Neurospora crassa OR74A: one gene and its partners. The protein of the gene in region 2 interacts with the protein of the main gene of each other region in a biochemical or structural test. Links are inferred from orthologs where the notes say so. Each region holds a gene or a part of one and is shown on either strand. Other genes may lie near its edges.

Region 1 (4,108 bases), on a different chromosome or scaffold from region 2:
GTTTGCCAACCACCTCATTTACCGTGGACTCGAGTCGGGAGATGGAAGTATGGAGGAGGGTATTAGCGCTTGTCGAAAGATGCTTGTTATTGTGTTTGTTTACGATCTGTTGTTTGGTCGGTTTTCATTTGGCTTTTCATGTCGCAGTTTGGCGTTCATGAAGGCAGTTGCATCATCATCGTCTCATTGTTGGGTCTCGTTGCTTCAGGTAGATTAATTCAGAGTGTCTTGTTCAAGTCGGAATATTGCGATTTGGATGTGAGTAGTCGAAGTGGAATTTGGTTGCAGGTTCTTGGACTTTCAAGATCTTGCAGAGGTAAGTCTGAGAACCCGTCCAGCTGGTTAGAACAAGTCAGTAAACTGATTGTTTGGTACCTCAGTGATACGGTCCATCAGCATCATTCTGTTCAACATAGTCAGTGACTTTGCAGCTCCTATGAACCAAGTGAGTATACCTTCCTTGGAAGAGAATTTACGTACATCTACTCACCTGTCCACATATTTTGATCATTCTGACATTCAGTTGTGAACGATGAAAGGTTCGAGCAAACCGCAGTATAAATGAATTCTACATTTGACGTTCTGCACCAAATACTTGACATGATAACCGTATAGACCATTACGTATACAACAATCTTTCAGTTCCGAGACCTTATTCACACCCATCCATCCATCCACACCTTTACAGCACCTAACCCACAAACCTACAACTTACTAGTCCTACTCTCCTTCTTCAACATCTCCTCCGCCACAATCCTCCTCTGGATCTTGCCCGTCGCCGTCTTGGGCATCACATCCGTAAAGTAGATCTTCTTGGGCACCTTGAACTTGGCCAGCTTGCTTCCCACCCATTGCTTAAACTCCTCCGCATCCACCTTCTGTTGACCAGGCTTCAACACAATCGCCACCGCGACTTCCTGTCCGTACATTTCATCCGGGATCGCAAAGCTAACAGCCTCGGAAACGGCCGGGTGGCGCGTCAGGACATTATCCAGCTCAATCGGCGAGATCTTCTCGCCGCCTTTGTTGATCAGCTCCTTGATGCGGCCCGTAATGACAATGTAGCCGTCCTCGTCCTTCTTGCCTTGGTCGCCCGTGCGGAAGTAGCCCCCCTTACGCGTGAACGAGGACGCGTTGGCTTCGGGGTTGTTGAGGTACCCCTTGGTGACGTTTTCGCCGCGGATGGAGATCTCGCCTTCTTGTCCGTCGGGTAAGATGTTGTCTTTGTCGTCGAGAATGACGACTTCCACGCCTTGGCCGAGGCCGACGGTGCCGGGCTTGCGCTTGCCGACCGAGGGAAGCGGGTTGGAAGTCATTTGGTGGGCGGCTTCGGTCATGGCGTAGGCTTCGAGGACGGGGGCCTGGAAGGTCTTTTCGAGGTTGTGGAAGACGGTGGGTGATAGAGGGGAGGAGCAGGAGCGGATGAAGCGGATCTTGGGCAGAGGGTTGGGGACCGGGTGCTTGAGGAGGATTTGGTGGATGGTGGGCACGGCGGTGTACCAGTTTGCTTGGAACTGGATGAAGTCAGACCAGAAATCGGTGGCGGAGAATTTGGCGGGGACGATCATGCTGCCGCCTGTCAGGAGGGGGGCCAAAAGACCGCACAAAAGGCCGTGGACGTGGAAGAGGGGCATGACGAGCATGGTTCGGTCGGCAGAGGTGAGCTGGTACGTGTTGCGGATGTTCTTCATGGTGCGCGTCAGGTTGCGGTGCGTGAGCGGGACGACCTTGGGGCGCGAGGTGGTGCCGCTGGTGTGCAGGACGAGAGCGATGTCGTCGGCGTCTGGCTTCAACACGGGCTGGGCGCCCTTGCCGGTGAGTTGGCCGAGTTCCTTGACGTCGAGAGCGACTTCGTTTTTGGCGGCGTCCCAGTAGGATTCGGCGATGGCGGCGTTGAACTTTTGCGCGGCCTTAACGACGGGAGCACCGGCTGCGTAGGCGCCCTTGGGGACGATCACGATGGCGGACTTGACGTCCTCGATGTAGAACTCGAATTCATCTTGCTTGTAGGCCGGGTTGAGAGGGGCGGCGATGCCGCGCTGCCACGAGGCGGCAAGGAAAGAGACGATGAACTCGTACGAGTTGACGGTGGCGATGGAGACCGGAGAACCCTTGGTGATGCCAATGTCTGCCAGCTTCTTCTGGAACGAAGCGGTTTCACGCTTCAGGTCGGCGTAGGTGACTGTGAGCGCCTGCGGCTTGGAGGGGATGATGACGGCCACATCGTTATCGGCGCCCTGGATGGCGGCCTGGAGGTCAAATGGGCAAGGCATGACGTTGATTTTTCTGTTTTTTCCAATTGATAGTATGAAGTGGAACTCTGTGACCTTTATGGTGTGGTATTACAGAAATTTCTCTTGGTGTGGTTCGGAAGATGTTGATGGCGTCTTGTGATGACTGATCCAATGACACTAGTCGAGTACAAGGACAGTCCGCTTTGGGCAAAGACGCTTCGTGTAAGTGAGTCCGCTACTGGGAATAGCTTCACAAATGAGACAGAAGGAGTAAACAGAGTGACAACTTGTTCAATTGGAAACTCAAAAAGATCTGAGTAAAACAGAATTACAATGAACGCCGACGACGGAGGCGAGTTTGGAACACCATTTGATACTCACCCCGGTCCAAGACCGATGATGCCATTCAATACCTCCCATTCCGCGTTCGGCAGTAGGCCGGCAATCGGTAACCTCCATGGGCCCACAGGGGACCACTAGCACAGCTGTCTAAAAGCGGGGAAATAAGGGGCTAAGACGTCGGGTTAGGGTTGTACCCGCCTTTGCACGCACCTTTGAATGTGTTTGTCTGCCGCTCTGTCAAAGGGCGGCGTCTCCATCATCACCTATTTTTGCTGCTTCCGAAGCGGAGAGGACGACACCCTCTTACACCGTAGTCTCACTCACATCCAGGCTTGTTCAACCTGGACAAGTCATATAGCCACGCCATTCGTAGGGTGTCACGAGGTTCGAACAAAGTTTTGGGCTGGTCTATAAAATTATACAGAGCGCTGACCCTTCTTTTCAGCGTTTTCGTCCCAAACCCTTCTTTTACCCTGTTTGTGAAGAGTCCAAACCTCTCTTCAACGACACTTGACAAATCTACCTCACCAAACTTCACTCCTATCACAACAACACCACAAACCACCTCTACCAAAGTAAAAAAAACCATCACCATGGCCCCCTCCCCTTCCCGCCTCACCGGGGCATTCACCACCCTCAAGGACACCATCCTCGCCCTCATCGACCCGTGGATCTTCCTATCCCTCTCCGCCTCCTACCTACCCACAACTGTCCTCTCTCTCCTGCGGAAACGGCGCTTCCTCGCCCTCCTCGGCGGTCCTCTACTCTCCTCTGAATTCCAATCCGTCTGGTTCGGCCACTTCTGGTCCCGCGCCGGTCCCCAAGTGCGCAGCAACGCCGAAGCGAACGTCGTGCCCCTGCTAGAAGGCAGAGTATCCAAAGGGCAAGTCGTTCCCAAGAGCGAAGCGCACGCGCCCGGAGTGGGAGGAGTCGTGCTGGAGATTGGACCGGGGAGTGGCATGTGGGTTAGCTTGTTTAGTGATGACAAGTATCTAAAGGATGAAGAGGAGGAGGAGGGGCAAGGAGGGGAAGATGATGCCGAGGAGGAAGGACTGTCGGCTAGTTGGGCGACGATAACTCCTTCTTCTCAGCAGCAACAGCAACAGCAACAACAAAAGCAGACGACAAAAAAGGTGGTGGGAAGTCGCCAGAGGATAACGCAGGTGTATGGCATCGAGCCCAATTATGGCATTCACCCGCTGCTTCAACATAACATTGCGCAGGCAGGCCTGTCGCAAACGTACACCATCCTTCCCTTTGGCATCGAGGATATTGAACGCTACGCGCCTCAGATCCAGCCTGAATCTCTGGATTGCATAGTCTCCATCCTCTGCCTTTGCAGTATTCCGGAGCCGCAAAAGAACATTGCCATCCTGTACCGCTATCTCAAGCCGGGCGGCCGTTGGTTCGTCTACGAACACGTCAAGTGCTGCTCTAGCAAGCCGGGCGGTTGGTTCATGAATGCCTACCAGGCCTTTGTCAACCTCTTCTGGCCAATCTGCCTCGGCGGATGCCAGCTTCGTCGCGATACT
Region 2 (4,205 bases):
GCAGCGCCGTCGGCGAGCCCTCTGCCTGCCTTTTCATTGGCAACATCCCCTACGAGACCACCGATGCCGAGCTGAACAACATCTTCGTCGGCATTGACGGTCTCAAGGACGTCCGCGTCGCCGTTGACCGTGCTACCGGCTGGCCCCGTGGCTTCGCCCACGCCGACTTCGTCGACGTTGAGGCTGCCGTCAACGCCTTGGAGAAGCTCCAGGGTACCCAGCTCGGCGAGAGGACCATCAAGATTGACTATGCTCAGCCCGCCGCTGCTCGTCAGCCCCGTGAGAACAACGGCGAACGCCGCGAGTACCGCCCCCGTCAGCAGCGTGATGGTCAGCGCGATGGTCAGCGCAGCTACAACCGCGACGGCGGTAACCGCAGCTACAACCGTGAGGGTGGCAACCGCAACTACAACCGTGATGGTGGCAACCGCAGCTACAACCGCGAGGGTGGCGACCGCAGCTACAACCGCGAGGGTGGCGACCGCAACTACAACCGCCGCGACCAGGGCGAGTCCACCGAGTTCTAAACTAACAAGCCGCAATCGAGGGCATGTAATGGTTACGACATGACTGGGTGAAGAGGATGGGAAACGGATGTAATGGAGGGCAAAACTGGGCAAGTTCGGTTTTCAAAAAAGAAAAGAGGCCGGTTGTGTTTCTTGACAAATGTTGCCAAAATTGGGGCACATTGGGATTGGGAAACTGTGGGATTGGTGTTGTGGCGCCTTTGCAGTACGATCACTCTGCGTACATCATCCTGACCTTTTGCTTGCAATGATACCTGTACAACTACGAAAAATCTTCTCTTCTTTCTTCTTACTGCGACTAGTTGTTTTCGTTTACCATTTTTTGTTGGTTATATCGCTGTACATATGTACGAATAGAGGGGTGGTCTTCTGTACCTTCTTTGCGTCCTGCATCCCGTATGCGTGACGTGACGATCTGCTCGAAACGCATCGTTTGATTGTTCATTTTCCCTTTCAACTTGCGTACATTGCCGTGCTGTCGGCATGCGAGTATGATTTCCGCACTCCGCTGTCGTCCGATTGTTCTCGGCTGTCGTTTGAAGGAACGAAGGGATCGATGATGGATCCGGGGGCGGGGGCGGGGGTGTACTCCACGGGCCGGGCTGGGGTTCGGCTCCATGTGAGGTGTGGTTGACAACACTCCATTGGCGGGGTTACCAGTAATAGCCGCGGCCAGGCAACAAGTGCCTGAGGTGTGGCCGGCAACTGCCACAGCCCAAAAAGACCTAACAAGAGCGCGGTGAGGTGGATATGATGGCTGGCTGAGGTGCCCTGGCTGCCTCGGCATTTCCAGCTGTTCAGGTGGCGCACGGCGGTGCCCCCCTTGTGCCCCTGAGTGACCTGAGCTTTTGGCGCCCAAGGTTCCAACTCACTTCAGATGCATGCAGAGCCCGATTTCTAACCACGCTGCTGCCATCCACACATGCCGGACCCAGACAACCCGCCCGTGCATCCGTGGGCTCCCGTCGTTACTTACAAGACAGCACACCTGCCACACATCCCGCGAGAGTCGGTCAACTTCTTTCTTTCACCTGGACAACTTCAGTTCTGGACACCGCCGCTTGATCACTAATTAATCAACTCCACGAGCTCACCACGCCCGTGCCTGGCTTGTTTGTTACTTCCACTTCTTTTTTTCTTTCCCTCTTCCAAACTAAAGTCATCCTTCCTTTGCCCTGCGCAAAAATCTACCTAGCTACCGCTACTTCCAGCCTGCCTCTACAACTTGCGCGGGCCGCTGCTTTCCCAACAGTCGACCGCATAGCGCTCTACTTCGTCTACCAGATAGTGTACAAGAGCCGCCCATCTTGTCTTCTGTCTTGGGCTTCGTTGTCAACTTTCGCCGAAACATCGCCATTGTCGCATTAATATCCAACATCTTCAAAATGTCTTTCATGGGTGGAGCCGAGTGTTCGACGGCGGGCAACCCGCTCAGTCAGTTTACCAAGCATGTTGGAGACGACAAGAGCCTCCAACATGACAGACTTGCCAACAGAGGTCCCAATGCTGCGGTTGGTGGCTTCCGGAGTATTAACCGCGGGCCTGGCCAAGATGAGGTAAGGAATCTTCATGGATATTGTTGACGGCAAGGCATGCGCTCTTGGCTGACATGACGATCCTCTCGAACAGATGGTGAACGGATTCCTAAACCAAACGCCGGAGATGGCTCATATGCCTCTCGAACAAGGACATATGCTTCACCTCGACCCGAGCCAAGGCGCCCACATGCGCGCCCCGAACGCCTCGCCAGCATGGGCTCAGGACTTCCACAACACACAGGCGGCTATGGAAGCCGCCTTCAATGCGCCGCCTGGCACTCAGTTCAGCGCCGATGAGTTTTCAAAGTTCCAGCAAATGCACCCCGCCGCGGCGCCGGCCACCGCCAGCCAGATGCCTGCTCAGCGCCCCATGATGGGTGGTGGCATGATGGGCATGGGCAACATGAACTACAACATGATGCAGCGACCCATGTACCAGCCCATGGTCGGCATGCACGGCCCTCAGATGCACAACATTCCCCAGCAACAACTACAGCCCGAGGGCAAGGGTAAGGGCAAAGTTGTTGAGCTCGACCAGAACAAGTGGGAAGAGCATTTTGCTCAGCTGGAGATCAATGGTGACGAGGCCCGCGCCATGGAGCCCGAGCTCAACAAGATGGACGAGGCGCTACTTCACTCCGAGACTGGTGCTGGCGATCTCGAATCCATCTGGCGCGGTATCCAGGCCGAAAGAGACGCCATGAAGGAGTTGGACGAGATTGATGTCCAGGACGACTTTGCCAAGTTCGACAGTGAGAACCTGGAAAAGGAAGATTGGACGCTGAACGGCAGGCTCGGCGCGGACCCTATCGTGCAAGAGTACCTCTTCGAGGAAGATAACCTCTTCAGGGAGACACCAAACCCATTCGAAGAGGGTATTCGTATCATGAAGGAGGGCGGGAACCTGTCGCTAGCTGCTCTGGCCTTCGAGGCTGCGGTCCAGAAGAACCCCGACCACACCGAGGCGTGGGTCTACCTCGGACAGACGCAAGCCCAGAACGAGAAGGAAGAAGCTGCCATCCGTGCTCTCGAGCGTGCCATGAAGCTCGACCCCAACAACCTCTCTGCTATGATGGGCCTAGCCGTCTCCTACACCAACGAGGGCTACGACAGCACCGCCTACCGCACGCTCGAGCGCTGGCTGTCGACCAAGTACCCCAGCGTCATCTCACCCAGTAACCTTTCCTCGGCCGCTGACATGGGCTTCACCGACCGCGCCCAGCTGCACGAGCGCGTCACCAACCTCTTCCTCGAGGCGGCCCGCCTCGCTCCCGATGGCGATCACATGGACCCCGACGTGCAGGTCGGCCTAGGCGTCCTGTTCTACGGCGCCGAGGACTACGACAAGGCCGTCGACTGCTTCCAGTCGGCGCTGCACTCGACCGAGCTCGGCACCTCCAACCAGCGCGAACAGATCCACCTGCTCTGGAACCGGCTGGGCGCCACTCTCGCCAACAGCGGCCGCTCCGAGGAGGCCATCGCCGCCTACGAAAAGGCCCTCGCCATTCACCCCAACTTTGTCCGCGCCCGCTACAACCTTGGCGTCTCGTGCATCAACATTGGCTGCCATGCTGAGGCCGCGGGTCACTTGCTCGCGGCGCTGGACATGCACAAGTCTGTAGAGAAGAGCGGACGCGAGAAGGCGCGCGAGCTGCTGGGCGGCAATGCGGGTGATAGCGACTCGCGTATCGATAACATGATGACGCAGAACAGGAGCACGACCCTTTACGACACTCTCCGTCGCGTGTTCACGCAGATGGGACGGAGGGATCTGGCGGAGAAGGTTACTACGGGCGTGGATCCCGAGATCTTCCGTGGTGAGTTTGATTTCTAGAGTGAGTCAGAGTTGGAGTTGAAAGAAGAGGCTCAGGAGTGGATGGTTGGGTATGACGCTATGGAGGATGTTTACTACGATGTTGATGTCGAAATGGAGAAGGCCTTGAAGGAGGAGCAGCAGTGGTGTGATGAGGACTTGGACGAGGGTTACTTGTCGAGTGAGGCGAGTACACTATGTTCGGATGATTATAGGGAGTTTTGGTGAATATACAAATATTAAGTACTGTACAAAGCGAATGTAGCTGGCTTGTCGGGGTTGTTAACAGCTTGTGTTGGGGAGTGAAAAGTCGAAGATGGGGCTTGG
Region 3 (3,996 bases), on a different chromosome or scaffold from region 2:
TTGGGCGAGACGAAGGCGCTATGAGAACATTGGCACAGGAAGAAAGGGATGATGGGTGGGGTCAATGTTTGGTTCCAAGCAAGCATTGCCCGATCAAGTAATAGCTACGAGGACTATTAGATGCGATTGGAAACTGAACCATGGCACGAAGGTGTATGTACCTTGAACCCGGGATGTCTTAACAGAGAATATTCCGCATCCGACCTCTCGGGTACGCATATGCTACGCTGAGGTAATGATTTGGCAGCGACATCAATACCTACACTACAATGTATCCTTTAGTTCTCTACAGAGGCCGCGGTGTTCTGACTGTACCGATGTGGCTGAAAGTCCTGAATAGAGGGCGACATAACCAAAGCCAGTTGTCCCTCTTTGACCGTTTGCGCATCTCTATTCGATCATGGCTTTTTTTTTTTTTTGCCCCTCCCCTCCAGTTTTTTTGGGTGGCTGAGGACAATAACCAAAAATTTGTCTCGGCAATGCCATAGCAGCGGTCAAAATAGTGAGGCAGAAATACTGGGCGGTCAGGTGTACGGGATGTCTCAGATCAATTCACGGCCTAACCTTATAAGATGTGAAAATGGTAGCTTTTGATATCATGCTCTAGGAAAATGCCATGCAACGTCCGCGCTTAAAGACCTTGCAGAAATACAAACGCGCTATCATGGAAAGGGGACTGAATGAGGTTGTCCCATGCTTCACAAGTGCTCCTGTGTATTGTCCTGCTTGAACAACGTACAGGAGCTTTATTACTATACAGAAAACCAGAGGGAGTCGCTCACTTTGGCCTTATGCTCATGCCGATTAATGTATCCAGGTTTCCCAGTTCCGGTGCTATTTTATCTTTGTGCCTGACTGGAGAACAGCTTTTTAAGCGGCTTCGTCGCCTCCGTTGCTGCTTGAGCCATCGTTTGTAGTACCGTTCGTGACTCCGACAGTCGAAGCCGACGCGGTTTTGTTGGCCATGGCCAACTGCCAAGCAGGGATAGTCGGCTTGCCTGCAGAGGCAATTCCGCTGCTGAAAGGCGAAGGCTTGGGGGCAGCAGGTTGAGCGAACTGCTGTTCCTGCTGGTATCTGGATTGCTCATCCTGCGCACTCGCGGCTCTGCTGTTTAAGTCTCCGTTCTCACCGCCGAGGGCTGGCGTGGCAGGGGCTGAAGAAGGAGTGGCGTTTCCGTTAGTATTGGGGCGAAGGTAGTTGTTGACGCTCGTCGAGGTGGCGGTTGGGTTCATGCGTTGCGAGATGAGGGTCTTGAGGCTCTTGAGTTCGGTATTGAGTTCGCGCAGCCTGTTGTCGGTCAAGTCCTTCTGGTTGTTGAGTGCCCTTGGAATCGAGTCCCTGAGATTTTGCACATCGTCCCGTACTCTCTGTGCTTCGTCGTCTCTGCGTCTGTTGGCTGCCTTGAGGTCCCTGACGACAGTCTCCAGCTCCTCGAGGGCATTGTCGAGTCTCTCTGTCCTTTCCTGCTCCGAGGCCTTGAGGATTTCGGTATCCTTGGCCAGCTGCTCAACCAGTTGGAATGTTTTGTCGAATTGTTCGTCGATGGACTTCTTGTCCTGCTCGAGACGCTCCGGCGTGGGAGGAGCAATCAAAGGATACACATAGCGCTGCCGAACGGTTAGAATTTCCTTTTATGTACATTGCACGGTGTTCGGCGGCCTACCTTGCCGAGATTGTATAGGCCGTACGACGCGCCTCCGACTACGGTCGCCAAAATGAACAGGTCCCTCCAGTCCCGCCTGACACCGTCGGTATTCGATTGCGGCCATGCGTATGGGGGATAGCCATAGTACTGCGGAGAGCCACCCTGTGCTGCGACGGGTCCGGCCGACTGCGCATAGGCGGGCGACTGGGCGTACGGTGGCGGTGGACCTCCTGATTCGGCGCGGGCGAGAGCAGCGCTGACTTCTTCCTGGGTGAGGTTCTTTGCTTGGAGAAAGGCTATCCGCTTCTCGATTGGCGAGGCGGCGACACTGGGGTCTTGAAGAACTGTGGTGTTGTTGTCGGGTGAGATTCTGGCCTGGCAATGTAGAGGAGGTAGCAGGGGACAAGACAGGGGCAGAACATACACTGCGCCGCCGAAGCGACCAGGTCCTCGCGGATGGCCATGACTGATGTTGTTTGATCGAAATGCGGCAGATGGCGTTCCCTTGTTGAGACTGGGCAGACGAGAGGAAAGAAGCAGACAGCTGAAACAGTCGCGACGCGATGGCAGACGGCGGCGGTTGATGGAATGATTATCGAAGGACGGGAGGCTGAATGCGATAGATGAAGTGGAAACGAACTGACTGGCAGCGGTTCGGGGGATGGCTGGGCCGCTGGATGGAGTCCTGAAGCCGAGGTTCACGGGACCGGGGGCCTGATTGTACACTAGACGTGGACTGCTAATAGCACCTTAACAGCTTCGCATCACTTGCACCCCCAGCACACTCGTGGAGGCATGCTGATCAGATAAATCACTATCTCCTCCCCTGACTCTCCTTTTCCTCCGACAGGCCTAGAGCGCAGCTGAGCATCCATTCCATGCAGTGACTGGCTCAGAGACGGGAGTGCAGAGCTGAAAAAGCACTGACCTGAAGCGAGCCAACACTCACCCTCAAGGTCGCTTTTGGACCCACTCCCGTCATTCACCTGCCGTCCCGATGCTTGGGGACGAGAACTGGAGTGCACTTGGCACTGTTCAGCCCAATGATTTCCACAGCCCCACCCACGTCGCCTTTCTTTTGTTTACTCTTCCTGACGGAGCAACCTCCCCCACCATCCGCAGAAGTCGACAACCTAGTCCCGTCTACACTACGGTGTCTTAATCTACCTACATACCTATGCTGGCCTGCATTAGGTTGCTGGCCGTACACGTACTTTTATCGCTACGACACGACGAAATCCGCGACTGCGGTTATGCATTGATTTCTGTCAGAGCCGCGAACACGTACCCACATTAACTCGAGCGCATACCTTAGCTCTACAAAGCTATCCGACATAATCACCACCAAGAGAATCATCGCCGACATCGATCCGACACAGTTGCACGTAGTGTAACACTCTTTTGTTCGCTTGCTTATATATTATCACGGAAACCACGCGACTAGGACGGCAAAAGGGAGGCGCACATTGACGAGGCCTTTGCCGTCATGTCGCAAGACAGCAACGCAGGCCTTTGGAGTGTTCGACGGCCAAGGGAGGTGCGACTTCCCCCCGTGACTTTCTTTGCGGCGTGTTTCCTCGGTCGAAACCTCTCCCCATCCGACGCGACCATGCACGATATTGACTCTGCTCTCTCTGTAGACTCTCCATGGCGTCAACCTCACGTCGGGCATTCCGGCACCACCCTCCACACTTAAGCGACAAAGCACCATCGGCACAATAGGAACGGGCCATGGTCGCTCTCTGTCGGGGAGGCAATCTCTGGCCCTCCCGCGACCGAGCCAACCTCTGTTCCAGCGATCCTCCGACATTGGCCTGGGCTCGGTAAAGCGCGCGTCGGTTCATAACATGAACACGTCGCAGTTCAAGCCCTATGGCACCCCAGGCAGTTCCGGTATTCCTCGATCATCGCAAGAACTCGACCGGCGAAGCAGCGTCTACCGCCCAAGCGCACGACCGTCGGCCGTCGGCGGAGGTCCCTTAGCTGGTGGGCATATGAGCTTCTTCCAGCAAGCGCCCCAGCCCGCCGGCGTGCCTCGCGATCCGCGCCCCCTCAAAGACCGTCAATTCCAAAATCGCATTGGCCAGGAGTTGCTCGAGTACCTCGCCAAGAACAATTTCGAGATGGAGATGAACCACAAGCTGTCCGACAACTTCACAAAGTCGCCGACACAGAAGGACTTCAACTACTTGTTTCAATGGCTTTACCACAGGATAGACCCGAGTTACCGGTTTCAGAAGAATATCGACCAGGAGGTACCACCATTACTCAAACAACTGCGATACCCATACGAGAAGAGCATCACCAAGAGCCAAATCGCCGCGGTCGGAGGTCAGAATTGGAGCACCTT
Region 4 (4,032 bases), about 5.6 Mb from region 2:
TACGACTGAACAACCGACTCAAGCAGACAAACACCCCTTTGTCTGTGTAGGCTAATTAGCCACGCTTCGTTCCATCCCTGTGCCATCGGTGTGGTCACCGCCTCACATCGCCTATCACTTCCCTTCATCCCCCCTTTCGATTTCACACCTCGTGCGTCCATGTCTTTCAGCGTTCGCCGCTTCCGCTTACTCCATGCATCCATTCATCCATTTACCATGGCCGTCCTCTGTGTCTATATCTCCCTTTTGGCTCGCTCGGGTATTGACTTATGGTGAAAAGACGTTTACCCACGCAATAATCGTGTCATGCAGGTGTATAAAGATGTGAGAGTGTTTGTCATTCTCTTAATAATGATAATGCCGTAACTGACCGTTGTGGGCATGCATGCTTGTTTGGTGACGTCTTACACCCTTCCGACGAGTTCGAAAACTTCCGGAAATGCTCCGACTGATTATCTCACCGCGCTCTCGTGTGCCTCTACGTAGCTGCTTGGTGATTTTTTCCTGGTAGGAAAGTGTGGTCATTTCCACCAGGCTGGGCGAATCCGAATCAAGGAGAATCCGATTTTGATTTGATTTGCTATTGTGTCTGATTGTTGTGTTGGAGAGGAAAGCCGATTAGATGGCCATTGGGTGTTGGGCCACTCCCAGGAGGCCGGCGCTTTGCACATGGTAGATCCAGAGCTCGCACGATCAGGCGTGTATTAAGAGAATGAGACCGAGTGTCGAAGCCGAGAAGAGCGTGGCATGAACCGCGACGTCTCGATGTGCATTTTGCTGAGATCATTCCGCCTGCGTTCCTTGCCTCCCTAAGAAAAGAACTGCGACTTCTGGAAACTCTCGACGCTAATATCGCTAGCCTTGGCCGCCGGTAGGGCCGGAACCAGCACTTTCTTATCCGCGTCGCTGAGGATGCTGCTCAGCGAGTTGGCCCTCGTGTCGCCGTCAATGCTGATGGATGGGGCCCCAGCAATAGCTGCAACAGGCTGACCTGGCTTCTTAAGTACCTCGAGGAAGGTGGCCGGTAGATAGCCAATTCTTCCGTCGCGGGCGCGACACTTCCACCACTCGCTAGGCTGGCCGAGAGGATCGCTCTTGCTGAGAACGGCAACCAGATCACCCTTGTGAACTTCAAGGTCTACGCCCGGGACGATCTCGCCATTCCCCTGCGTGGCGGGCGAGAAGTCGTACAGGACGCGGCAGAACTCAAGCTTGGTCGGGTCGATGGTTTGTTGTTGCGCGACAACGAGCTGGCGCTTCTTTTCCTCTTCCTCAGCGTTGGAGGCCAGCGACTTGATCACCCTGCTCATCACGTAGGGCAGACCGAAGGCAGCGAGAACGAAGAAGATGAGGGGCTTTCGGCTGGGCTTGGGCATGGCACCGGCGGCACCACCGGCAGCCGCTGCAGCACCGCCCTTCCCGCGTCCATCAAACATGGCAAAAGAGGCTGGATTGAGGCTGGAGACATCGGCTGGTAGAGGCTTGCCGGTGATCTTGGCGAACACTGTCCTAATCCAGCGCATAATAGTGAAGATGCCCAGAATGGAGCCTAGGGTTTGGCGAAGATTGCCAAACTGCTCTGCGACAGCAACCATGGCTGAGCTGATGTTAGTATATCAGTTGCGCCTGACTGGAGGTGGGCATGTAGGATGATATAACCTACCAAAGAAACTCGAGTGTGTCGCCATATAAGTGCTCTCAAGCATTTGTGCAAAACCTCCGAATGCGCCGACAATGCCTTCCAGCATCTGGAATGTGGCCATCGTACTCATGTTGAAGCGGTTGGTCAAACTTTCCGGGTTGTTGGGATCGCCCGGCATGCCACCCATACCTCCTCCATACATGCCGCCGCCGCCGTACATGCCACCGCCGTACATCGACCCGCCGTAACCGCCGTACATTGAACTGCCGTATCCGCCCATACCCCCATACCTGGAATAGGGGCTGGAATAGGGCGACGAGTATGCTGAGCCGTATGAAGAGCCGTATGTTGTGCCGTACGAGCCTACGCCGACCCCGTATGGTGATGTACCCATCGCGCCCATTGGTCTGCTGTAGTTGGCGGCATTTTGGTTGACGGAGGCGGTCAGACTGGCAGGTCTCGCGGGGATGGCCGGGGTTGAGCCTGATGTTGTTGTTGTCGTGTTTGACTCTGGTGATGGCGTCGCGGCCGAAGAGGCTGCTGGTGCGGGCGCTGTGTCATTGCGGATTCAATGTCAGTGCCCTGCTTGTCGGGCGCACATGGAATGGTGAACGGGAAAAAAAACATACCCGATGCGCCAGACGTCGCGCCTTGTCTTTCCCACGGTTTCGGGGGGGATGCCATGGCGATTGTGTGTGGATTATCTGATCCTCCGCCGTTGATGGCCGGTGGTAGTGCTCGAGGAATGACTTCGATGGACCGGTAAAGGGAGAAGACGAAAACAAGGGGGGTTTACTGGTGGCCGCCTAGTTAGGGATGGTCCAGTCGTCAGTCTTAAGCGATGGGACAGAATGCGTGCGATGCGACAAGCGTCAGGACCGCTGCACTTTGCTGCTGGGAGCTGGCTGAGCGCCTGGGCTGGCAAAGAGTTGCCGCAGTGGCGAGGGCGCTGGGCTTAGCTGAGGATCCCGGTTTGGCGGCTTCCTCGCGTAAATTCGTTCAGGGAAGGGGAGCGCGAGAGAGTGTGTGCGAGTAGATCAGGGCCAATAAGTAGAGTCAGCGGGCGTGGCATCAGAGGATAATTTATCGTAGTCTTATTCTCGACTTCTTTTTGGGCCCTTCGGGTATAAAAATGTCGACTTTTCCTAGACCACTATGGGGAGGGGATCGAGCATTGACAGGAGGGGACGATGTCGTAGCAGCGGAAAGGTGGAGAACGTCAGTCCGGGAGCGACCACTCCTGTTGCTTTTATCGCTTTCGGACGGCTTGTGAACCTCGGCAACATTTTAGCGGGTAACACTGCCTGCATGGACACTTTATGTATGGTAGGTAGGTACCGACCCAGCATGGTCAGCTGCATGCTGGGCATCGTGCTCGTCTTTTACGACTCTGCAGTCTGCACTCCACGAACATCAGCATGATGTAAGCTGTGATAAAGGAAAACGTGGATGTACGCAGTATAATTGTTCCTTAACATGGTGGATTGAGAAATGCTTGCACGTCAACGTATTAAGCTCGCCAACTTCCAAGTTCAGGGGGTGCGGTATATCGATGATTCTGGCAGGTTGCAACCAAGGTCGGTTGTTTTGTAATTGCTCGATGCTGTTCTCTTTCAAGACCTAATCAACAAGCCAACCTCAAATTCAGATCAGTGCGTATGAATGTCCGAATAATAGTTCGGATTGCCAATATGGACACTACTAGCCGTAGGACAGAAAGGAGAAACGACCAGTCTTACATGCACGCTAACAATGAATACCCATCAATTACGCCAACGCCTTTGCAATGCCTCTGTGGAATAGTAAGCATCTTTCCCCGATCCCATTGGGTTTCCTGAATGCCTCCTTACTAAAGGATGGCCGAGAAGCTCATCGCACGAAAAGCCAAGTCTGCCCAACCTATCCTATCCATCACATCGGTCATACCTCAACCCAAAGTCCTGACTAGGGACCTAACACATCTAGCGGGCCTGCGACCCCTTCAGTGCCGATTCCCGTCGTGCTAAAGGCCCGCCCTTTTGTCCAACTAGCCACTCTTTCCAGTCCGTGCTTGTGTATGGAACAAATCTAATGACGAGGAGAATAACGACGAGGTGAAAAGACATCCTCTGCCGTGACAGAAAGCGGAACCTAGCTGTTCATGACATCTCCATGCCCTCGTCTTCATCAAGCTCGCTTTCAAGCACTTGCGTATGGTTGCTACTAATGCTCCCTTTACGCCGTGACGAGCCAGACCCTCCGTCGTGGTAACGACCATCGATCCCCACCATCAAATCAAGCTCGTCACCGCCAACCACACGGCCTTCCATATCAACTTCCTGCGAGAGCTCCACCAGAGCCGCCCGAGGAAGCCTCTGGAAACCGAGCGTGCGTACAACCCTGCCCCAGTG

Evidence for each region.
Region 1: the proteins of pex5 (region 2) and NCU08935 form a complex in vitro, tested with the Saccharomyces cerevisiae proteins (2 studies listed by BioGRID). The link is inferred for Neurospora crassa OR74A from reciprocal best matches to the Saccharomyces cerevisiae genes PEX5 and PCS60.
Region 3: the proteins of pex5 (region 2) and pex14 form a complex in vitro, tested with the Saccharomyces cerevisiae proteins (3 studies listed by BioGRID). The link is inferred for Neurospora crassa OR74A from reciprocal best matches to the Saccharomyces cerevisiae genes PEX5 and PEX14.
Region 4: the proteins of pex5 (region 2) and pex13 form a complex in vitro, tested with the Saccharomyces cerevisiae proteins (4 studies listed by BioGRID, with this or other methods). The link is inferred for Neurospora crassa OR74A from reciprocal best matches to the Saccharomyces cerevisiae genes PEX5 and PEX13.

What each region holds. Positions count from the first base shown.
Region 1 is NC_026505.1:5,752,033-5,756,140, reverse strand, and holds NCU08935 (peroxisomal-coenzyme A synthetase), read right to left. Parts: upstream 2,607-4,108; 5' UTR 2,274-2,606; coding exon 705-2,273; 3' UTR 541-704; downstream 1-540. Other genes in the region: NCU08934 (hypothetical protein), read left to right, coding at 3,170-4,108. UniProt on the Saccharomyces cerevisiae protein: Catalyzes the first step in a degradation pathway of oxalate to CO(2) to protect the cell against the harmful effects of oxalate derived from endogenous processes or an environmental sources.
Region 2 is NC_026501.1:8,571,285-8,575,489, reverse strand, and holds the start of pex5 (peroxisomal targeting signal receptor), read left to right. Parts: upstream 1-1,371; 5' UTR 1,372-1,912; coding exon 1,913-2,083; intron 2,084-2,156; coding exon 2,157-3,899; 3' UTR 3,900-4,205. Other genes in the region: NCU16466 (nucleic acid-binding protein), read left to right, coding at 1-527. UniProt on the Saccharomyces cerevisiae protein: Receptor that mediates peroxisomal import of proteins containing a C-terminal PTS1-type tripeptide peroxisomal targeting signal (SKL-type).
Region 3 is NC_026506.1:2,097,998-2,101,993, reverse strand, and holds pex14 (peroxisomal membrane anchor protein), read right to left. Parts: upstream 2,525-3,996; 5' UTR 2,111-2,524; coding exon 2,071-2,110; intron 1,991-2,070; coding exon 1,665-1,990; intron 1,609-1,664; coding exon 871-1,608; 3' UTR 509-870; downstream 1-508. Other genes in the region: NCU03899 (HEC/Ndc80p family protein), read left to right, coding at 3,133-3,183, 3,287-3,996. UniProt on the Saccharomyces cerevisiae protein: Component of the PEX13-PEX14 docking complex, a translocon channel that specifically mediates the import of peroxisomal cargo proteins bound to PEX5 or PEX21 receptors.
Region 4 is NC_026501.1:2,931,263-2,935,294, reverse strand, and holds the start of pex13 (peroxisomal membrane protein), read right to left. Parts: upstream 2,848-4,032; 5' UTR 2,327-2,847; coding exon 2,272-2,326; intron 2,195-2,271; coding exon 1,664-2,194; intron 1,598-1,663; coding exon 810-1,597; 3' UTR 1-809. Other genes in the region: NCU02617 (kelch repeat-containing protein), read right to left, coding at 3,781-4,032. UniProt on the Saccharomyces cerevisiae protein: Component of the PEX13-PEX14 docking complex, a translocon channel that specifically mediates the import of peroxisomal cargo proteins bound to PEX5 or PEX21 receptors.